Linked DNA regions of Arabidopsis thaliana. The protein of the gene in region 1 interacts with the protein of each later gene in a pairwise test. Each region holds a gene or a part of one and is shown in the gene's direction. Other genes may lie near its edges. The genes, in order: AT1G09660, AT3G15160, FKBP12 and AT5G54580.

The links.
Region 2: the proteins of AT1G09660 (region 1) and AT3G15160 interact in a two-hybrid assay, tested with the Arabidopsis thaliana proteins (one large-scale study listed by BioGRID).
Region 3: the proteins of AT1G09660 (region 1) and FKBP12 interact in a two-hybrid assay, tested with the Arabidopsis thaliana proteins (one large-scale study listed by BioGRID).
Region 4: the proteins of AT1G09660 (region 1) and AT5G54580 interact in a two-hybrid assay, tested with the Arabidopsis thaliana proteins (one large-scale study listed by BioGRID).

Annotation. Positions count from the first base shown.
Region 1 is NC_003070.9:3,126,997-3,133,221, reverse strand, and holds AT1G09660 (RNA-binding KH domain-containing protein), read left to right. Parts: upstream 1-2,127; 5' UTR 2,128-2,348; exon of another isoform or gene 2,349-2,422; 5' UTR 2,423-2,430; coding exon 2,431-2,561; intron 2,562-3,036; coding exon 3,037-3,122; intron 3,123-3,793; coding exon 3,794-3,918; intron 3,919-4,040; coding exon 4,041-4,178; intron 4,179-4,254; coding exon 4,255-4,371; intron 4,372-4,819; coding exon 4,820-4,963; coding exon of another isoform or gene 4,964-5,017; exon of another isoform or gene 5,018-5,034; coding exon 5,035-5,190; 3' UTR 5,191-5,460; downstream 5,461-6,225. Other genes in the region: AT1G09665 (Toll-Interleukin-Resistance (TIR) domain family protein), read right to left, coding at 1-127; AT1G09650 (F-box and associated interaction domains-containing protein), read right to left, coding at 6,096-6,225.
Region 2 is NC_003074.8:5,102,271-5,109,299, forward strand, and holds AT3G15160 (AP-5 complex subunit zeta-1), read left to right. Parts: upstream 1-2,096; 5' UTR 2,097-2,311; coding exon 2,312-2,413; intron 2,414-2,454; exon of another isoform or gene 2,455-2,505; coding exon 2,506-2,652; intron 2,653-2,747; coding exon 2,748-2,839; intron 2,840-2,957; coding exon 2,958-3,054; intron 3,055-3,346; coding exon 3,347-3,390; intron 3,391-3,463; coding exon 3,464-3,552; intron 3,553-3,791; coding exon 3,792-3,889; intron 3,890-3,968; coding exon 3,969-4,115; intron 4,116-4,284; coding exon 4,285-4,432; intron 4,433-4,531; coding exon 4,532-4,608; intron 4,609-4,828; coding exon 4,829-4,900; intron 4,901-5,063; coding exon 5,064-5,111; intron 5,112-5,176; coding exon 5,177-5,304; intron 5,305-5,408; coding exon 5,409-5,553; intron 5,554-5,651; coding exon 5,652-5,856; intron 5,857-5,959; coding exon 5,960-6,009; 3' UTR 6,010-6,239; downstream 6,240-7,029. Other genes in the region: HPY2 (RING/U-box superfamily protein), read right to left, coding at 1-82, 176-258, 524-663, 753-863, 958-1,068, 1,429-1,500, 1,723-1,812.
Region 3 is NC_003076.8:25,733,983-25,738,665, reverse strand, and holds FKBP12 (FK506-binding protein 12), read left to right. Parts: upstream 1-2,520; 5' UTR 2,521-2,675; coding exon 2,676-2,763; intron 2,764-3,162; coding exon 3,163-3,196; intron 3,197-3,377; coding exon 3,378-3,439; intron 3,440-3,552; coding exon 3,553-3,605; intron 3,606-3,754; coding exon 3,755-3,856; 3' UTR 3,857-4,076; downstream 4,077-4,683. Other genes in the region: EIP9 (Chaperone DnaJ-domain superfamily protein), read left to right, coding at 64-1,458. UniProt on the Arabidopsis thaliana protein: PPIases accelerate the folding of proteins. It catalyzes the cis-trans isomerization of proline imidic peptide bonds in oligopeptides. Mediates rapamycin inactivation of TOR protein kinase activity.
Region 4 is NC_003076.8:22,168,972-22,173,899, forward strand, and holds AT5G54580 (RNA-binding (RRM/RBD/RNP motifs) family protein), read left to right. Parts: upstream 1-2,194; 5' UTR 2,195-2,360; coding exon 2,361-2,544; intron 2,545-3,186; coding exon 3,187-3,255; intron 3,256-3,357; coding exon 3,358-3,464; intron 3,465-3,574; coding exon 3,575-3,685; 3' UTR 3,686-4,048; downstream 4,049-4,928. Other genes in the region: BGLU41 (beta glucosidase 41), read right to left, coding at 1-247, 333-492, 574-649, 821-879, 953-1,022, 1,118-1,264. UniProt on the Arabidopsis thaliana protein: Involved in C-to-U editing of mitochondrial RNA. Functions as minor mitochondrial editing factor. Controls 6 percent of the mitochondrial editing sites.

The DNA of each region.
Region 1 (6,225 bases):
CTATGAAGAAGTTGATTCCATGTCTTTTAAAAGCGTCAACGAGGTGGCTCACAAAGCTGCAGCGTAGCTCCTCTCCCCGGAAATTGATGAACACTTGGATCTTCCTATTACTACTACTCCTTTTCATGTTGTTTAATTTCCTTTAGTTGTGAGCGTGAGCAATGAAGAGAAGTTGGTTAGACTTTGTTCCACTCTTATACAATTTTGTTTGGACAGAAGACAAGTTTTGTAATGTAATATGGAACAATGGTTACTAAGATGTTTAGCAAGAGCTTAATTTATAGTATATGATATTGGGATTTGGGAGGGTTTAGGTACATTGTTAATGTTAGGTTTATCGATATTACTGGAGGGAAGGCGTCGTTAGGAACTTTGTCATTAACTTTCTTGAGTTAACATGCGTAAATGCAGTGGCGGACCCAGAATTTGATTATTCCAAAAATTGGACAGAGGAGGAAGAAAAGTCACAATCCCAAACAGTTAATACAAGATCGTAGAAAAGCGTTTTTGGCGCACGTGCGCGGAGAGAGAAAGCAGAAGCAGACCTCACTTTTCTTTTTTTCTTGGTTTTTTCTTGTCTCTGGATCCTCATTGTTGTTCTCACCACCACCTACTAGCTACTACCCACATTTTTCCCCAATGTCGAACTTCTATCCGTTTTCTTCTTTGGTTTTAGGTCTTTCTTTTTGGTAGTTGTACTACAACATGTATACTTTTAATTTGCAGCAAACATGAAACTTCTCCTTTGTCAGCACTCAGCCTTACGGAACAACATGTACCCCTAAACAAAACTCTACATGACCTAGGGGATTTGAAACATCCCAAGAAATGGATTTTTTTTTTTTTTTTTTTTTTTGGGCTGTGATTGTTAATGAAAACCTTTTTATGTATACATTTGATAAAGTAAATACTACATATATTCTAGTAGAATAATACCATTTACCTAATATACTGAAATTTCTTGGGATGTTTCAAATCCCCTAGGTCATGTAGAATTTTGTTTAGGGTTACATGTTGTTCCGTAAGGCTGAGTGCTGACAAAGGAGAAGTTTCATGTTGGCTGCAAATTAAAAGTATACATGTGTAGAACAGCTAACAAACAGAAAGCATAGAAAGAAGGGAACCCTAGGATAAAGAATTAAAAAGGGGAACAAAGATTTATGCTGTTTCTTCTTTATTTCTCATTGGCAAAACGGCAGAATCTTCATTAAGTTGCGTTTTATTATTTTTTCCATTTCTTATAGTAGCCAACTTCCAACTACACCATTTAACCCGGCCGTTTTTTTTTGTTGCTAAGTAATAGGTAAATATCCTATTAATGAAAATTATGATTTACATGAACAATAGCTAAGATTTAGGATACAAACAAGGAAGACGATCAAGGATCTTGAAGATAGAAGTAGGCGCAAATGTGTTGTGAATTATGCAGCATCTTATTTCTTTGCTTCCAAGTTGTATATAAATCACGGCTTGAGTAACTAGCTTCCTTAGTGTATATGTGACTGCATCTATCATATACAGTATGTGTGTAAACTGCGTTTGGTGTAAAATGTAATTATAATTTATAGAAAATAAATTAAAGTAGTGGAACATGGAAATCACCGTTCAGATATTCTAACTGATTCACTATAGACGGAATTCTTGTTTTCGTCCATTGTTTTTACTTTTTAGAATTTTTAAGTAAAATAAATCATCCATTACATCACTGAGGTGACATCATCGCTCAGGGGACATCACTAACTACGTTCCCACTAAAAATATAGGCAAATGCAATCAAGTGAATGATGATGACCTTTCAAGAGTTCGTAGAGATAAATAAAATAATAAATATTTGGCATGTTGAGGATCAAATGAATTAGATGCATAAGAAAGGTACTAGGTAGACCAGGCCCGGCCCAATGTGTTTTGTTGTCTAAAGCAAAACAAAAAAAATTAAGCCCATTAAAGAATAGTTATATTGCCTCGGAAGGGCTCGAATCCATCATCTTCATTTTTTTAGTTTACACGGATTGGAAGTAGGCTACAATGTCCCTGAGGGAAGGTAGGCCCATTATTAGTGACCTGAAGCCCAATAATAATGAAAACGCAAAGAACCTTTTAAGAAGAAGATGACAGAATCTCTAGAGAATAAAAAACTAAACACAAAAATAGAAAATATCGAAAATGAGATGAGAGAGAGAGGAGGAGTCTCTCATCGTGAGTAGGGCTTTTGACTCCCTCCCTACTTTGCCTACTTCTTCTTCTTCCTCTGTGGCCACTCTACACAGTCCACACCTACTTCAAGACACCTTTCTCATCCTTGAGATCGGCGTCAGATCCTCCGCCGCTTCTCCTCTTCACTATCTCCGGTCACAACTTGTTTTTCTCTGTTTTTCTTTATCTCTACTTTATGCACAATCTGACTTTCTAAGTGGATTTACAGTGTTAAAGATGATGGAATCTGGCGCTGGTTTCGTGGCCATGGAAGAGAGGATCTCTCCTGGAAGTTTCTTCCAGTATCCTCTTTCTGGATTCCGTGCTTCTCCTAATCGATCCCCTTGTCCTCCCTCTGATCGTGAAAGGTTTCTATTTTCTCTCTTCTTTCTCAACCTTTTTGCTATTTGTGAATCTGTGTTAGCTTGATTGTTGTGGACCCGTTTCTTCTTCTGGACTTGTTGCTTTAGCACAACTTCAAGTGTGTCTCTTTGTGATTGGTGGGTATTGTTGCCTTTGATTGGATCAGTGTTTAAAAATGATTCTGTCAAGTTTGTATTTTCATGAACTGCTTACACAGATCCAAATTCTCGATCATACTCTCTCACCTCAACATGTCGCCTTTTTCACAATTAGCTCACTTATTATTGGATTCTATACAATGTACTCTTAAGGATTTTAACAAGATAGCTATATTTTATCAATGTTTTAGAAATGAACGTACTGATGTATTTTTAGAAGCTTAGTTTACATGTGACTGAGTGCTGATTCCAATGTCACCCACTCGATTCACACGCAACATCCACTGAAACTTAAGTTTTTTTTGTTCTTAACCTTGTGCAGGTACTTGACTGAATTATTGCAAGAGAGACAAAAGTTGGGTCCCTTTTTGCAAGTTATGCCAAATTGCTGCAGACTGCTTAATCATGGTGAGCTATCTTATTAAGCTATGTGATTTTGAATTTAGTATTTCCTTAGAGTGTGTGCACACGAACTTAAGAAATTTCCCACGTGAACAAAGCCTTAGTGCGCATCACCCTGGCTTTTTTCCAGTTAAAGGTTTACAGAAATTGGGTAAGGATAGTTGAGTAACAAAAATGTATCTACATGCAACTTTTTATTCTCTTTGTTATGGCCTTCTTAATATATATATAGCCAATCAAAGTCTATGTTACTTTTAGCATTTAGAAACAGTTTTTAATTGCAACTTATTGCTAAATGATCATCCTTGATGAGTTATGTTATGTGAAAATGAATTAAGTCTATGTGTTTGCAAATGATAATGATCGTTAAGCAAATGATCACCAACTAATTTATACTAGGAAGCCTATTTGTCCGTAAATATGCATATGGTGATTAGAAGCTTGTTTCCAGACTTGTTTACCTAGCTTTTAGTTGTCCATCATGCCCTTAAGGGATGTGTGAACCTTAAAAGACAAAGATGTGTTTGAAGTTTTCATCATTCTAACCTATTAGAACCCGAGCCTTTTGTTTCATTATTGGCATTAAAGATAAGAGACTGAAGATGCCCCTGATGTATAACTCTTACAGTTTCTTTTATACGTTTGCTTAACTGCCAACATTGCTGACGTCTGTGCAGAAATCAGGAGGGTCTCTAGTTTTCCTGATCTTGATAGATATGAGCATGGCAGTCCATTTAGATCGCTTGGTCAGCCGACAAATGGAAAGCTTGATTTAGAGGGATGGTCGATGATGCAAGCCGAGGTAAGCCACTGCTGATAGTTGTAGTCAATTAACTGATTCATGTTGAATTGTAATGGTGATACTAATAATTTTTATAATCAAGAGTGGGCTTTACCGATATTGATTGCTTTTGCTTTCTTCAGGAAAACTGTCACCTCCAGAGAGCTTCTCCATTTCGCGGTCCTTCCCCAGTGGGCTGGATTGGGATGCCGGGACTCCCTAACCCACCCATTGTGAAAAAAGTGATTAGACTTGATGTCCCAGTGGATAAATATCCAAGCGTATGTCTTAAATCTTTACCCAAATAGGTTATTATAATTGGATTGTTCTAGAGTTTAAATCCATTGAGCGTTGCAGTATAATTTTGTTGGGAGGATTCTTGGGCCACGTGGAAACTCCCTAAAAAGAGTTGAGCTAGCAACCCACTGCAGGGTGTTTATCAGAGGACGAGGATCTGTGAAGGATACTGTCAAGGTATGGCTCCTTGTTTATTAATTCTCTGAAGGATTCCATTTTGTCTCTGTTTTATTCTTACAGTTCAAAACTTCACTTTATGTCATGTTTTTACCTGTTAATCAGTTTTATAACCATGTTTTGAATACGCACAATTTTCTTCCGGCCTTTAGGAGCAATTTGTTTTCCTTTTGTGTATAAGCTTACGTCTTTTAGCATATCAAGCTTATTGTTGAAGTAATGATACATTTTTTACTGCATCAGCAGCTACTACTCTTGTTTACATTTGAAGATATGTAAATTTTGGCAGCCTGTATAAGAAATAAACTGTTAAAGTTTTAGGTTCTTACATCATCAGAAGTAAATAGAGAAAGTTTTGAAATTCATTTTTTTCTGACTCTTATATATTCTCTGACAATCTACCATGCGGTGTGAAAGCTTATCCATTTAGTTCTTTACTTCCCTGCAGGAGGAAAAATTAAAAGGTAAGCCAGGGTACGAGCATCTCTGCGAGCCACTACATGTACTGATCGAGGCCGAGCTTCCAGAAGACATAATAAACTCTCGATTGGAGCATGCAGTGCATTTCCTGGAATCACTCCTGAAGCCGATGGTACATTCTTATCACAAAAGTCCAAACATGTCTATTTTGTTCACATGGTTTTGATTCTTCTCTCTCTACAGGACGAGTCAATGGATCACTACAAGAGGGAACAGCTGAAGGAGTTAGCGGCTTTGAATGGTACACTAAGGGAGGAGAGTCCGAGTCCGAGCTTGAGCCCTTGTTTGAGCCCCAGCATGTCCCCTTTCAACAGCAAGCGTGCTAAGACAGAGATATGATCAAGAGAAACCACTAGTGCATGGGTCTTGTGGGCAGGATCATGAGTTTGCTAAGTTCTAACGTTTGGACTCTTGAATTAATTTATTTTGTCATTAACTTTATTCTTTATTTTTGTTGGTTAGCTGAGATGACCATTAACCAGTGGGTAATAAACTAATAATGGTGTTTATGAAATTGTAATCTCCTTCTCAATCATTGTAACCTTTATTTAAGTTTTAAACCCCAAACGTTTATTTCATTTTAAGTTTTGAAATTTCTCCATTTGTCTATCTACCATTCATTATCAGTTTGTTTTGAGATTTAAGGTTCAGATTCAAATGTCGGAAACTATTAGACAACAAAGAGATTCACCATTGACCAGTGTGTAATAAACTAATAATGGTGCTTATGAAAATGTAATCTCCTTCTCAATTATTTATTGATTATGGCTCTGATTCTGATGCCATGTAAAAGGAGATTATTTCAATTGAATTACAGAACAAAGTCATTGGAAGCTTCAGATAGTTGTTTGAGTTATTTGATTGGTGGTTTCGGAGAGATTCGTTACCTTGTTTCAATTTCTTTAACATTTCTTCAGAATTTGAATAGATACATAGATTTAAGACTTTGTTTTCGGGGAGTTTATAGCAACAAGATCCTAGTTTGGGCTATCGTTGAGAAACCTATAAGGTGCCTTAAAGATTCTAGAGCATATTGTGGTCACTGAAAGTATGCAAGGAAAAACGACATCATCCGACTGTGTGAGATAAATTAGAAGCATAACAAGCGCATAAAAAAGCACGACAAAAATTGTTGGTACATGTTGAAACAAGCCCTTCTTACATAAAACAAGAATCTGAAACATAATCATAGGCAGCTTTAAGAGTTGCAAACTTGGACAAACAAACGGATGGTGAAAGAAGCTTTATGAAATAGATATTAAACTCGGGAAATAACAGACAGGATGACCGATGGAGTCAGCCTCGAAAGCAACATCATATGATTTGGTTTCGTCATCATGTACCACCATTGTTCGTTTTCGTACACGACAATAA
Region 2 (7,029 bases), on another chromosome or scaffold:
TTCAACGAGCGCATCTCCTCTATTTCAAACTTCAACATTGCATCACAAATCACTTTGCTATTCTGCAGTTTACCTCGGCACCCTGAGGATTTCAAGAGGTCATACAAATGACAAATCAGCATGAAAGAACAAAGTAATGGTGTCTAAAGATGTTTTTGAGCAAGAACTATTTTACCTGCTACAGGACAATTCGCATTTGGATTGTTGACTATGTAATGCAGGATTACAGATTTTTCATAGACGTGCCTGCAATCCATACTGCAACCATAAAAAGGATCAGAGAGACATGGTATCAGTTCACCGCACAATTGTATATTATTATTTGATTAGTTCTACTGCTACACGAAAGATGAAATCATATTCAAGCTTTATGGTCATGTATAGAAAGAAGTCAGTATCGACTGAATATGGCTTTTGAGGATCATCCTACATAGACATCAGGCATGGGAGAGGACAAGCAAATCGTCCGAACAAAACAAGACATCCAAGTTAAGGGAAAAAAGACAAGAAACATCCATTGTACCTGCGAACTGGATCTGCTAATTCAGTGACAGGCTTCCCGCTCAAGGGACATGTCATGTTTAGAAGAGGGCACTGAGTACTGGTCATAACAATGTCCTCATCATCGTCACCAGGCATTGGTTCACCTGCATGATGAACATTCTGCAGCAAAACATTGACAATAACTTAAAAAGGAAATCGGACTATAGACCTATTAGATACAAGCCAAGAACTTTAAGTTAAAAACATACCCAAACTGCTTCCCTGAACTGGCGCATCAAATGATCATTTTGTGGCACTGAGGAAGGTGTAGCCTTGAGCTTTGTGAATTCATCATCAAGCAACTTTTTAAAGTCCGTTAACTGCAGTCATTAGAGTAAAAATCAATTTGCTACATCTAAAAGTATGCAACCGAATAAGAAATTAGATAACACATGAAAGAGGGAAAGTGAGTACTTGTTCCACGGGTTGGTACCGATTTGCAACGGATTGAATTGCTGTCGAACGGTGATTACAATCACTATGCAAATCCAATAACTCAGCCACAGAATTTTCAAGGTCCTTAACCTGTGGAACCCAAAATATAAAAATGAAGAGCATATATAAAGAGCATTTAAGAAAAACAAAGACAGACATCAAGGAAAGAGTGTTGGCAAGAGCAGACAATAATACAATGTCAGAATGAAAGAGATACGTGATAACAAGTTTTACAGCAATGCAATTAACCAAGAATCAATCACATTAGAAGAAAGTCTAGGCAGTTCCCACAAGTTTAAGATAAGGTCACTTATGATTAGCCAATACAAAAACTCAAGGAGATGAATGAAACTACTCTACATTGTAGCAAAAAAAAAAAATGTAAAACGGCTACAAGTGCGTTTATCCCTGAAAACGCTTCCTCTCATATCAGACAAAATAATAACCAACCTTGTCCGTTTGATTTTCTTTCTCCAATTGAACTGCAATGTTCTTCATCATTGCCACAGCTTTGCGGATATCCTGCAAATAAAAGTAAAAACAGATACGAGATAAAGCAGATTCTAGGCTATAAATTTTGCCCAAATTAGAAATCCCTTGTTCACTTCTAACTAGTCAAACCCATTATAAGCCGAAGCTCCTATCTGTTAACATCTCGGAGGAAAGATTTCAGGAACTTCTCAGAAACCTATATTTACATCAAAAAAAAAAAAGAGTGAATTTGGTTTGAACGAAAATACTCACAGCAAGCGTGGAACTGTTATCGGAGACAAGAACCAAAGAAGCGTTCTGAATCCTTCCGGCAACTCCGTCAGACGAGGACGCCGACGCCATATCTATCGCTCCTTCGCTCCAATTTTCTCTTCCGAGGTTTGTTTTGGAGGGAGAAATCAGAAGACGGAAAGAGTGAGAGAGCCTGCGATATACGGAGGTTTGCTGAATAAAATGCGTGCCGTCTTATGCTACTATAAGCGACACGTAGTTAATTAATCCTATTAGAAAACGTGAAGAAGACAAGTCGTACCGGCCGAACGAAGTCGTACTGGCCAAACGATGTCGTATCGCTGCAACAAGCTATAAAAAGGCCGCAGCCAATCCATAGCCCGTCTAGGGGGTTTGCTTGATAAACTGTGTGCCGTCTTATGCTACTATAAACGACATGTGGACAAGAAGAGATGGCATGTAGTTTAAGGATATAGATCTTTGAATAAACGACGTCGTCTTCTTTCCAATCCTCTTTCTCCGGGACTCTGGAGTCGCCGAAGCTGAAACTTCTTCATCCATCATCATATCATATGAATTTTTTCTAGTGATCTTCTTTTTGATTGAGAACATGAGTGATCAAGAAGGAGACTGGGATTTTTACCTCAGAATCCTAAGCAACAGCGCGCGGGATTCTACGGATCCTGCTTCTGATCCATCTATACTACAATCAGTACGCATCTTTTGTCCATTTATTGAGAATTGGCTTGAGACTGGTATTAAGTGATACATTGCTTTCGTTTTGTTTGAATGTATATGGATTAGGTGAAGAAGCTGCATGGGTTCTGTAAAATGGAGAAATCAGATGATCTTGTGGCTAGAATTTATCCACAATTCAATAAAGTCTTCCATCGTTCGGTTGCTTCACTATCTCAGTCCGAGTCAGGGGCGTCCAAAGGCCTTCTCTTGCTAGTACATTATTCTCCCTGAAGAATTTCAGATGAAAGTTTGTTTTTTTACGTTTTGGGTTCTAGTGTGTATTAAGGATTCTGTGTTTGTGTGTTTAGGCCATTCTTCAGTTTTTTCTTGATTTTGGGGATATGGTTCTGCACGATTCTGACCCAAGTTTGAGGACATTCTTCCGCTCATGTCTTAGCCGGTATGGACTACCTTTTATGTCTTGACTGGGTCTTGTTGTGGCTCTGTGCTCTGAGATGTGTGCTACTATGCGTTTATGTAGATAAATTTTGCTGATATGATCATGATTTTCTTTGTAGTGAGTTCTCAGATGCCGCTGTGGCAGAGGCAACTTGTGAATTCCTTGTTGTGAACCAAAGAAAGCTCTTAGCATCTTTCCCAAACTTACTCCCTCAGGTATTAACTGGAATGACTAGCCATATAAATCCTTAAACTTTCTTTTAGCTTTCAGTCTCAAGAAGATTACTCTCTTAATTAGTAAAGTGCCTCTATTTATTGTGTTATTACTGTGTGCATCAACATATGTAATAGAACTGTATCTTTCTGTCCTTATAGCTTTATGCAATCTAGCTGTTCCTTCTGCTTTCATCTTTCTTAATTTGTGTCCATTTACATTTCCACCGCTTGAACAATTAAGCCATAACAGATATATTATATCTCTATCTAATTCAAGAAATTGTATTTGCAGTTTTTCCCGTTGTTGCTTAAGCTCATTGCCTGGAATTGGGAGAAGTAAGCTGAAAATATGCACAAGTGATTTGAACAATTATCTCAAGGAAATAAATTTTCTTTGTTCTAATTTCAGGTTGGAGAAGTCCTTCCTGAAGATATTTCCAGGACTGATATCACCTGGGTCATTTCTTCCTCTGTTTCCATCCATTGTAGACTTGCCAAGTGAGTCCGCTTGTCTAAAAAATGCTACTCGACTTCATATATTTGTTTGTACTCTAATTTGGAGACCACTTGGATGACTCCAACTGTACTAAGATGTATTTGTAAGCTGACTGGTTTCCATTGTTTTGAGCTTGTTTGGTATTTCTCCATTGATGCTTGGACTTTATTCTCTCAGCCTGATTGAGTTTACGAGTGTACTGTGTACTAATTATGTATCTTCTTGTTAATATTTTTGCTAGTATTGGTCGTGGCATTAGAAAAGGTGGAAAGGAGCTCGGGGTCGGGGTCAAGGGTTGGAGGTAGCATTGCTTCAATTCAGAAGAGTGCAGCTCCGGAGGTCTTATATCTCATAAAAACATAAACCATATGACAGTTCTTAGATAGTCAATGAATGACAAGGATACCTGTGAATGCAGATGCTTCTTGCCCTTATGGATGAAGCATATACTGGTTCAACCATCGGGGATGGAGGGGATGACTCTGAATCTGAAGATAACAATACAATAGATGTAGCTGATCCTCTGTTTCTGGAGCTTCTGAAGGACGAAAATGATGGTCTAGCGGTATGCATCCTTCCTCTGGCTTTGCTTTATTCCAAAAACTCAACAGAAACAGTTTTATATAATAATTGTCTATTAGTAAAAATTTAGGGCCTATGTGAAAGTTGGTAGTTTTTTAAACTGTCTGATATATTAGACAAACTGAAAGTATTTTGTCAAATTTGTGCTGCAGGAAAGACACCGCGCTTCTCCTACATTGAATGCAGCGCTGCAGGCTGCTGCAAGTGGTCCTCGGTCAGAGAGGATGAAGCAGACTCTTAAGATTGCTCCCCGACTTCTTGATGTCTACTTTAGTGTTACATTGCGAGATGCAAATGACTGTAAGATAATTTACAGCCTTCCTAGTTTGTTTTAGTTGCTAAAGGAATATAAGTCAATTTCCAACTTAGTTAGGCCGTTGACAACTTTATCTTTTGCAGCTCTGATCTGTGCTTTAATCCCTCTACTCATGACAAGAAACTCTACAATGTTTCCGGATAAGATTTTTTCTCATGAGGTACACGCATCTTCTGTATTGTTTTTCTGAAGACTTTCCTTAGAAAATCATTAGAACAGGCTAATTGACAATGTTTATTGATTTCTCTCCTCTAGATATGAGTGTAGCGTCCATTAATATTTCTTCAGAAATGCCAATGCTATTTTGACGTTTTAGTGTATAGACCTGTATCACTGCCATATTGGACGTTATCTTACAGAGATATTGTTTGCGTACACAGATCCGTAGGAGGCTACTGGAATTTGTACTAGCTGCATTTCAGAGGTCTCCAAATTTCATTGCCCTGTTGAAAGTAATGTCTGCCTATTTTATTTTATTTTTTTGTGCGAGTAATAGCTTTAGAATTTAGATAAGAAGATTTCACAGTGCATTATTAGATACATAGTCTTATGATTACCGCTTATTTTCTCGAGTAATTTGCAAGATATGCATTCTCAACTTCTTAAATAATACAGAAGCCTATTATTGACCGACTTGGGGAAGCTTACGATGATGTTGCAAAGGTCAGTTTCTAATATTTAGACGGATGCTTTGTAAGATAATCTCCTCTAAGCATTTTCTTCCGTAGAGAGAGTTAGCCTTACAGCTATGTTGGGCAATTGGAGAGTATGGTGGTGGGGGAGAATCTCACAAGGAAGCTGCTCGAGAGCTTTTTGAAAGTTTAGAGTTGCTTGTATATGAGAATCTCTCATCAAGGTATTACAAACTTTTGTTTGTGTATCATCAATCTGCTTTCTTGGACAGAAAACATAAATGGTAATTACAATGTTTTCCCTATTTGTTTCCAACGACCAAAAAAGCCGCCTAGGTTTGAGGCAAGAATCTGGGAATGGTTCAAGAAGAACAACACAGTCAAGACTTCTGTGTTTTGTAGTGACAGCTATCGCAAAGCTCGCAACATATCACCGAGAATTATTACCAAGAGCCCGCGTCGCCTTGGGAAAGGTACACAGGAAATAATTGAATCTATTAATGCACTTACCAATGATTAGTTGATTACTAAACATCTGGAATCTGAGTTCCACAATTATGTACATGTGTAGGTAGTAAAGTCTCGGATATCTGATGCAAGGGTTTGGAGACGAGCACATGATTACTTAGGACTAATGAACGAACCAGGAATCTGTTGGTCTGTGTTAGGACCTTCACGGGTTTCAGAAAAACGGTTTCCAGGCACAGTTAACTGGAGCGAGGGTGGACAAAAAATGGTTGCACACATTCCATTTCACATTCTTAGTGAACAAGGAGGTTAAGAGACTCTTCTCATCACTCTGTTAAAAGTTAAATTCAACAAGATGATAATGTGGTTGGATTTAGAAAAGATCTAACGTTGTGTCGTTGTTTTTTGCAGGTCCTCCATTCCATGACTTTGCTTTCTCCGATATCATCCCCAAAAACTAATCAAACAAACAAGTCTCTTAAATTGTGTTTTATTGTGAATAGTGAAACTCAAAGGTGTTTGTGTTTGTATACATCGGCATCTCTTTTTTTTCTAGCAGATGTAGTTTTGTAACCTTCTTGACTATGGTTCGTTCAAACTTGGCAAAATTCTTAATCAGACCCGGTTGGATCCGGTTTAAATTTGGAAGAAATTTACAAAAGAAAATTTAGTCCGACCCAATTATGACGAATTTTCTCTCGCCGTATTCTTTTTTTGATCCACTTTTCTAACAAGCTCCGAATGAGAAAATGCCAAAAGAAAAACTGTGGGTGGGTCCGGAACTTAGCCGTAGACTCGAAAAACGACACCGTAGGGTTCAGGGCGGAGGTCGGCGGAGATGATTCTCTCATCCACCACACTACTCTCACTCACACATACGTCACTCGACCTCTGTCGCCACCTGTGTGTAAAAATCTCTTGATACGCGAGTTTTTTTAACTCTCTCTCTTTTCTCTGTATTAATTCTCTCTTGGTTTTTAAAACAACAATCCATAATTATTGATCCTCAGCGTCATTTATGACCTTCTATTTTAATCTTTCTTTCTCCCAACAAAATCAGCAGCTGACATTGATCTTTTATTATTGTTTCAATGAATTTTCTTGAATAAACGTGTGTGTTTTCTCAAAAACAAAAATGAAACTCCTGAGATATTTCTTTCGTCTACTTAATAACATATCGTGTAGGTTTTTAACCAAAAAAAAATCAAAACACATGACGGGTCGGACCATAAATTAAGTTGTTAATTTTTTTGCATCAAAAGTTTTTGACCTTTTTAATAGGAAAAAATAATAATAATAGGTAGAGTTATTTGTGAGACCGTAGACTAGGGGGTGAAAATACAGAAGGAGAGAGGGGAAAAAAATGAAAGATGCATGCAAAATAAAAGAAAAGGATGGGAATATGATTTGATGTAAAGCCTGTGACAACTCTCCCTTTTAAATATTTTTCAACGCGACGTTACCTTATTGCAGACATGACG
Region 3 (4,683 bases), on another chromosome or scaffold:
AATAATAAATAAATTCAACGGGGAGAGAGGAAAAACGAAAGGGAACAAAAAGAAATAGGGGATATGGTAGGCGGACGCGGCGGAGTTGGCGGTGGTGGTGGTAACAGAGTGGAGGCGGATCAGTGGCTTGTAACATCGGAGAAGCTTCTAGCGTCTAGTGATCTTCAAGGAGCAAAGACATTTGCGATCCGCGCATGCGAAGCTGACCCGACCCGAGCAGAAGCTGCAGACTACATCCTCGCAATCTGCGACATTCTTCTCGCCGGAGAGACTCGTTTAGGTGATTCCAACTTGCCAGACTGGTACGCCGTTCTCCGACTCGGTCGTTTAGCTCAAAACCCTGAACACGTCGCGACTCAGTACCGTAGACTCGCTCTTCTCCTCAATCCTTCCGTTAATCGTCTCCCATTCGCCGATCGAGCTCTTAAAATCGTCTCCGATGCTTGGTTCGTTCTCTCTGATCCGTTCAAGAAATCATTCTACGACCGAGAATTGCAACTTAGTCAACTCGGTCAATCTGGATTCCATCCTCAAACCCAATCGCATCAAAATTTCCAGTGGGAACCTAGCAGTAGCACCGCCGTATATCCGCCACCGCGGTCTCAGAGCCAGGCTGGGACCTCGGCGGATCCTATGGCGACGAGCTTCTGGACCGCTTGCCCTTACTGCTTTGTACTCTTTGAGTACCCTAAGGCTTACGAAGAATGTACTTTGAAATGTCAAGAATGTAGAAGAGCGTTTCAAGCTGTGACGATACCAAAACCTCCGGTGGATAAGAAAGACGACGAAGACGTTTACTTTTGCTCATGGGCTTTGTTTCCATTGGGGTTTTCCGGTGAATTTCAAGCTCCAAGTTGGTCACCTATTTCACCTCTCTTTGCCTGTCCTCTGCAAAAGTTGGATGGTGAACCAAAGAAGAGAAAGGAACCGGGTCCTCCTAGGATTTACTATGACGATGATGACATTTATGTTGCGATTTCGGATGGAGATGACGCTGGTGATGATGGTGATTGGCAAGATGTGGTACAAGTGAATAAGAAGACGAATGTTGGGAAAGGGAAAGAAACATATGTGAGAAGTAACAAGAAACATGGAGTTGAAGAAGTCCAAAATGTAGAAAGTATCAGTAGTGCTAGCAATCACGCGGTTTCAATTGCTTCAAATGCTGCGGCTGTTGGGTCTTCAACTGGGGTTATGTCTAAACCAGGGAGTTATATTACTAGAAAACGAATGGGAACAGGCGCTAAGAACCTGGGGAGGTTGGATTTGAATGTGGAGTTTAGTAATGAAGTGGAAGAGCCTGGTGTGGCAGGTGGGGGAAATGCAGGCAATGGGATCGGAAGTAACAGGGAGGTAGATAATATGGAAGGGATTGGGTTCTTTGAGGGACTTGATGAATTCTTGAATAGTTTGCCCATACTTTCTGTTGTTGGAGATGATAAGATCAAGGCTACTTAGTGAAGTAAGGCTTTTTCCTCTCTTTGTTTAGGTTGCGGGTGTTTCGTTGTTGTAGGCCTTAGCTTTTATGTTTCCTGTTGATGTTTAACTGTAGTGGAAATACTAGCATTTTGATTCCTTGGAATCCCTGTAGTTGGAATCTGTTGATGTTATTTTGCTCAAAATTCGGATGCTTTCGTCGCTTTCTGGTATATAGTCTTCTGCTTCTGAGTTCTGAGTAAAGGCATTAAGATTATCTTTCTCGGGTTTATTAGACTATAAAACCTTACTAGCCAAATGCCTTATCTAAAGTAAAGTGAGTTACTTATCCTGCTCAGGTTTCATTTTGTTCCAAAAGAATTATGTTCCTCCAACTCAAAAGGCCATAGAGCAGCAAATTGCAAAACATAGGTGGTTTCCATGTCGTAATTGCTGCTTCTGTTCATTCACTAGATAACTTGTTGTGTTCTGGACTGACAAACGAAGAGGGAAAGTGACAACACACATTGCTTGCTTCATTCATCCTTGATGCTTTGAAAGGTAAGGAAAACAAGTAAGCTTTTTGTCAAGAATTTCTTGCTGGGGTCTAAGGTAAAGACCTAAACGGCTATGTAGAGTTTTTTTTGTGTAGTCATAGTAGCTAGGTATTCTCACTTACCTGTAATGAGTATTCTGCAGAATCTAGAAGATACAGAAGCTATCCAAGAGGTGATTCGTGCACGTTATCTGGCTTTTATACGCTCCAGTTGCGCAGTGAAGGTTCCATTGTCTGTTCATAAAAGCTTGTTTAAGACATTAATGATGGAACTGTTTAGCCGTTTAGGCTCTAAACATGATATCTACATAATCATTTTTTCTGTAATTGTGATGAAGAAGGTTCGTTGTATCTATATTGCTCTGTCTTCTTGACCATGTATCTTTCAAAAATGCGAAGGAAATTTTGATAGCTACAAGTCTGGGCTTGAATTTGATGAATCCGAAGTAAAAAATAGTTTTGGGCTAGATTCTGCTTCTTAATTCGGTCTGGTACAGTATTATATTATCCACCTTTGAGAAAGAATAAATAATGGGCCTAAATTTCATCGAATTGGGTTTTGGATTATTGTTAGGCCCAGATAGGGTTTAGATCAAACAGCATGATAATTGATAAATAACAAAATATATAGGCAAAAGCTACTCCGAGATTCGAAGCTGCAAAGAACGCGAAACAGTGAGAGAGACAGAGAGAAGATATAGAGATGGGTGTGGAGAAGCAAGTCATCAGACCCGGCAACGGTCCCAAACCCGCTCCGGGCCAAACCGTCACCGTCCATTGCACCGGATTCGGTAACTTTCCTCTGCATATTTATATCTTTGAAAATTCCATGATAGGCTAAATCGATCTATACAAATCTGCTTTGTTGAAGAGCTATTTGATGTGTTGTGGTAGTCGTACTCGCTATTTGTTTGTTTTCTATGATGTGAAATAGATTTAATTAGGGTTTATGTTCTATTCTGGGTGGTGATAGTAACACTTAGGTCATAATTAATCTGTAATTTTGCTGTTCTGCGAGATTATTTGTCTGCTCATCTGAAACTTCATACGAATAGATCTCTTGTTTAGATTTTCTATTTGTAGGTTTAATTAAAGAATCTTGTTTATCTTATAATCCAGTTTCTTGTGTGGAATTGAAATGAATTTGTTTGAGAATCTTATTTCTCTTGTGTGTGTGTTTTTTTTGGCAGGGAAAGATGGTGATCTATCCCAGAAGTTCTGGAGGTAAATAATTCTTTATTGTAAGCTTTGATTCTAGGATCAATAAAAAGATAATTACACTTACTTGTTCTTATCATCTACGCATACTCAGTTTATAAATCAATATGTTTCGTCTTAAAAGACTTATTTAATTTGGTATTTCCTTGAGCCTAACTGTGTTTTGTTCTTTGGTATATCATTATAGTACAAAGGACGAGGGACAAAAACCTTTCTCGTTCCAAATCGGTAAAGGTGCTGTGATCAAAGGTATAAACTTACTTACTCTGTTTTATGGTTAATCATATCATATCTCTGAACCTATTTGCCTCTTTTTTGGCGAGTGAACATCATATGATTCGATTGTTTAACTTTGCTTACAGGATGGGATGAAGGCGTTATCGGAATGCAAATTGGAGAGGTTGCTCGCTTGCGGGTATGTATACTCTGCTTCTCTCATCATGTTCCTCTTTGCCATCTATGCTTTTATGGCTCTCTGTTGAAGCACTTTTGTCTTTCATGATAGTTTGGGTGTTTCGTTATATGTTTAACATCTTTGGCTTGCGATCTTATCTGCTTCTGCAGTGCTCATCGGATTACGCATATGGCGCTGGTGGATTTCCGGCATGGGGGATCCAGCCAAACTCTGTTCTCGACTTTGAAATCGAAGTACTGAGCGTGCAGTAATGATCTCCCCAGCTCCTAAACTGTGGGTAGATTATTAAACAACCCTTTATGTTTATTGCTTCTGGGATCTTTATGCAACAAAACTTTGTGATGTCATTGCTCTTCTAAAACTCTTGGACAACGTTTTTATCTAAATAAAAGAAAAGACCCGTCTCGTGTTTCAGTTGGAATGTTTGTACTATATTATGATATTATTCCCGTTTTTTTATTTTGATTAAAATGGTTTTGTTTATTCAATCAAAATGCCAATAAAAAGCACAAAAGAATCAAACTAAAACTTCAATCTTAATGACATATCAGACCCAAAGCAAATGGTCTCAACCATAATGAAATTTGAATTGACCACTTCTAATTCAAAACACAGTATAAATTACTGTTCTTAATATCAAATCAAAGGAAGAAAAAAGACTAAAGTTAAAAACTTTTTCAGACAAGATACATAAGTTAACAAAAGAAAGGAAGAAAAAAGAGAGAGACGCGAGAGAAGTCGTGCGGGTAATTAAGCACTTAAAATTCCCGTGCAATTCTTTAATCATCACTTATGCTTCTTTTTTCTTTTTCTTTTCTCCATTTTCATTTTCATTCTTTTTACTTTTCTTTTTCTTTTCACCCACATTCCCCAATCACATAAGTCCTTTTATGAATAATAACTTTTAACATAAATGAAAGTCTACATAATATTTTTAAAAATAAAACAAAAGTATTGAGCTAATTTTGGCGTTGTATAAGCTAGATAGATGCTAAATTGTCAATTTAAATTAAACAATTAAAAAGAGTGGTTAGCTTTTATTCTTTTCCGTCACAATGGGTGTTTGAAACACACACAA
Region 4 (4,928 bases), on another chromosome or scaffold:
TCTTTGGTAGGTATGGTAAGCAGCAGCATGAGACAACAGAATGTTATGAGCTACAATATACGGTTCGACCGATGACTTCCCCTTCTTACAGAACCAATGTCCCAGAAGTGAGCACCTTCCTGGAGCTTGTATCCCTGTGTCATAGCCTTGGATCGATACCCCATGAGGCTCATTGAAAGTGATCCAGTACTTCACTCTATCTCCAAATGCTTTGAAACAGGTGAATGCATAATGCTCAAAATCATCCCTGCACCATTTATTTAGCTTTTTAATTTCGTAATAATCTCACCATATCAGGATTTCACATTTTTATCAAAATATCATATACTCACACCACTTCTCTGCTTAGCCATCCTTCATATCTGTCTTCTAAGGCTTGTGGGAGATCCCAGTGATACAATGTCACATAAGGTTTGATTCCTTTGGCTAAAAGAGCATCTATTAGGCTGTTATAGTACTTAACTCCATCTGGGTTTACTTCCCCTGTTCCATCTGTTAAAACCAGAGTTTAAATAGACCCGTCGAAACGCACAACATTACTCATCATATCACAGCTGAATGAAATAGACTTACTAGGGAATATTCTTGACCAAGATATAGAGAATCTGTAAGCATCCATTCTCAGATCTTTCATCAGGTCTATGTCATTCTGTGATAGCAACAAAACAAAAGAAAGGCTCTTGCTTCTTAGATTCTCTCATTTGTGTCCTGTTGCGTCTTATCTTAGATTTGTTTGGATGAGGTTGCTCTGTCAAGAAGCAACCCTACTTTTATCTTCAAGCTTAAGTCAACAAATTTGTAATTGTTAGGTAAAACTTACGTGAAACCTATGATATTGATCAACCGTAGTATCCGCATTGCTGAAATCCAGTATCTTTCCTGTTGATCAAGAACGATACCATTGAGTTAACTAAAACCTTCGTGATGTTTTCTGGGTTTGTTTCTTTGATACCTGGTTTCTCCTTCGTGAAAGTGTCCCATATGCTTTCTCCTTTGTTTCCTTCTTTCACAGCTCCTTCGAACTGATTTCTTGCAAGAAAATGTTGCGATTGTCAAAATCTTCGTTCTTTCTTTGTTGGATCAGTTTGGAGAAGATGAAGAAGAAGAAGAATGTCACCTGGTAAGCTGAAGAAGCTGTTCCGAATACAAATCCATCTGGAAAATTTGCTCTGCTGATAGATTCTGAAGAAACGTGATCAAGAGGTACGAAGAAGACGACGAAGAACGGAAACAGAACTAAGACGAGTCTCATTAAAGATTCCATTTTTTGGGTCGCATGAATAGAGAAAGTGAGAGAAAGAGAGAGATAAGGGGATGGAATTTTATGGTGAATGAAAGATTTGGAGGCAAGAAAATGGAGTTTTGGTGTGTGTGTGTTTTTAATTTGTAAAGTTGAAGAAGAAAGAGGAAGAGTGCAAAACAAAAGCTCACGTCTTTTGAAGGCTTTTCTTTGGTTTTGACATTTGTTCTCTCTACTTTTACTGCACACGTTTCTTATACTTGTGCCAAAAACTTTTTAAAGTTGTTTACTCTCTTAAGATAAAAAAAAAGTTTGTTACTGAGTGACACTGATTCACCTAACTACCTATGTCTTTTTTTTAAAGATATTCTTCTTGATAGTCTTGTTATTTGTAACCCCAAATTACATGATAATCAAATTAAATTCATAGATTGAATAATATATTATGTACTTTATTTTGAGATGAGTTAATAAATTAATATATAAATATAATGTGAACTTTTATGTTAGCATCCATATCCATTTATATATGTTATTTTTTGTGTGTTTACACTTATCACAAAAAAAAAGGGGTGTATTGAACTTAGGTAAGATTTTGTGGATTTTAGATTTTGAGAGATTTTAAAAGACGTCTGGTCATTTGGTGGATTTTTAGAAGAATCAAAACAAATTTTAAGTGGCCATTAAAAAAATAAAATGGTCATTTAGTGAAATTTTATGTCAAATTTCATAAAATATTGAAGTATTTTGTGTGATAGTCCAAAAAACAATTTGGTAACCATTTAAAGACTCATAAACGTTTCTACGTGCCAATGAAAAAAAATCGAAAATTGGAGCTGCACATTGGCGAATTCCATTAATTACGAATATCAGAATTGTAAAGTTTCTATCACTAGTCCATCCATTCCGAAATTTTGAAGTAATACAAGGGTATATCCGTCATTTTATGTCAGTATTTTTTTTTTTTAGGTCATCTTCTCACTCTAGTAAATTACTCGTTTTCGTATCAATCGATTTTGTTTGTTCTCTGCTTTTTTGGTTTAGGGTTTTAGCTTTTCAAAGTTAAAACCTTTTTTTCCCGAAGAAGAATCAATACGACTCAAATCAATCAATTGAATCTATGGCGATGGCTATGAGACTTCCAGCGATATCTAGAGCTGTGACGGAAGTAGCTTCAGCTCCGGTTGGTTTGAGACGACTGTTCTGTTCAAATGCTTCAAGGTTCTCTTTTTTGTCTCCACAAGCTGAATCCCAAACACCGGCTCGTCCTCAGGCTGAACCTAGCACCAATCTCTTCGTCTCCGGTAACAAACCCTTTTCATCTCTCAATTCATTTCGAGGGTTTATCGTTGTTAGAGTCTATGTCTGTTTCTATTTGATGCTTTTTAAAGATCCTTCCTTTTTGAATTCAGATTTAGATTATCAGGTTCGTCTAACATCAACTAAGATTGTACTCTATGTGTTTAAGAATTTGATAAGTTCAATTATTCATTTTTGGTTCTGATTTCCAGAAAAATGTCTACTTTCGATTGCTTAACTCTAGGAATGAACTGTAAGAGTTAAAGAGAGTTTCTTTGCACTCAATTACTTGAGAATTCGGTTTTTTCGGTTAAAATTTGGATGCTATGTGTACCGGATCAGTGTCTTGTTTCAAGGGTCTATGTGGGCTGTTTCTAACATCTTCAAGGCTTCTGTTTTTGTAAAGTGCTTCCTAGTATCAATTAGTTTTTGAAATACTGCTCAACATTGGGCTTTGATGCAAGCAATTTTGATTAGGCTATTACTTATTGTTCCTTCATAGCCTCTGTTTCTCACTTTTATCACATGGCCATTGAACATCTCATACATACATCTAAGGAATTTTATGTGTTCGATGCTGTGTCTCAGTTTCGTGAAAGTGTCTTCTTCTCATGTTATCTTTATCTTTGTGTCACTGAATATTTCAGGGCTTAGTAAGCGCACCACTTCTGAAGGACTAAGGACTGCTTTTGCTCAGTTTGGAGAAGTTGCTGATGGTGCGTATCTTATAACGACACTATAAAGTTTATGCGCAGTAAACTAGTCATCGTGAAGAAAACTAACTGTTATGATTCCTTTCTCTTCTATTGGTTTTGTAGCTAAGGTTGTCACAGACAGAGTATCAGGATATTCCAAAGGGTTTGGATTTGTTAGATATGCCACTTTAGAAGATTCTGCCAAAGGCATAGCTGGAATGGACGGGAAGGTACTATTCATTCTAATATCCATTTCTCGATTACCATATCATAATCTATTAAGAGAGATTTACACTGACAATTACCAAACGGCTAATCTCCTCTCTGTGCTTCTCTGCAGTTTCTTGACGGTTGGGTCATATTCGCAGAGTATGCAAGACCGAGAGAGCAATCACAGTCATATCAACCTCAGAACAACATGTCTCGTCCTCCATACTATGGTAACCGCTAGAGAAACAGTTTTCTTCGGTTCTTATGAATCTTTTATATTCATATTTATGCTTCATTCTATCCTCTTCTATGATCGAACTGTGTTGTGCTTCGTCTCGTGTTATTACCTTTAGAAGATTAAAAACTTCAAATTATATTTTGAAGGAATAATCAGAAACTGTCATTTACAAAACCAAAGTATTAAGTGTAATAGTTTTTTAAGAGGAAGAGGATTTTGCTTACATGGTTAACTCGGAAATACTTAAAACGTCATCGTTTTGTTGTTTGTGATTTAATTGATTGGACCGGTATGTAATGAGATTGATCGGGTTCTGAGAAATTCAGATCCGGTTTTAGTGTTGTTGATTTTTGGTCGACTTTAAAATCTTTCAGTATATATGCTTCGAGTTTTGTTTTGCTACGATTTCATTTTGTGAACCAAAATTTTTTAGGCACCACCAATCTAGATGATCATTTTCAAAAACCCAATGGGTCCGTAGCCATTAGCCAATCAATAACTCACAATTTTCGTTTAGATGCAACTACTTAACATTAAAAGTGATGATTATAACAAATGGGAATAAGTCATTGGGCCACAGCATTGAGTTCTCACAATTTCACGTGGAGCTGTCTAGAATCTCTACGAACATTTTTGTATACTACAACATGTGGACCGAACAAAAACAAAAAGAAATATCATCCCAAATACTAATGGCTTACATAAATTTATGCACTAAATGTTATAAAGACAAAAAAGGAAACAAAACATACAAAGAGATACCGTTCATACAATAACATTCCTTCGCTGTCCAATTACGTTTGGTGAGACAATTCCCTCTTTCTCATGCAACCAGATTTGTATTTCACAACTCATCATATTACTCCAAAATCATAACGGTACCCATTTTTGGAGTGTTCTTAGCTTATAATGGTAATAGTGATAGGTTTTGTTGTTTTGATTGTGATCTATAATCCTTAGACGCAATGAAAAGTTAGTTGTAATTACAAATGTCGACCGCAACGTGTACAAATGTTTCTTGTTTCCAAGTTTGTGGAGTGGGCACAAGTCAAACTTAACTGCATAAACTAATCAAATGGTAATGTTTCTAATCGGATAACGTTTCTGATTAAGTTCTTTTCGATGGACGATTCTTGTTATTTCTCATTCGATTCGATCGTGTGGGTTAGGTTTATAGATTCAAATCAATCAATCTTCCATCAATATATTTTATGATGACCCATGACACCTAGCAAGTAGCAACATA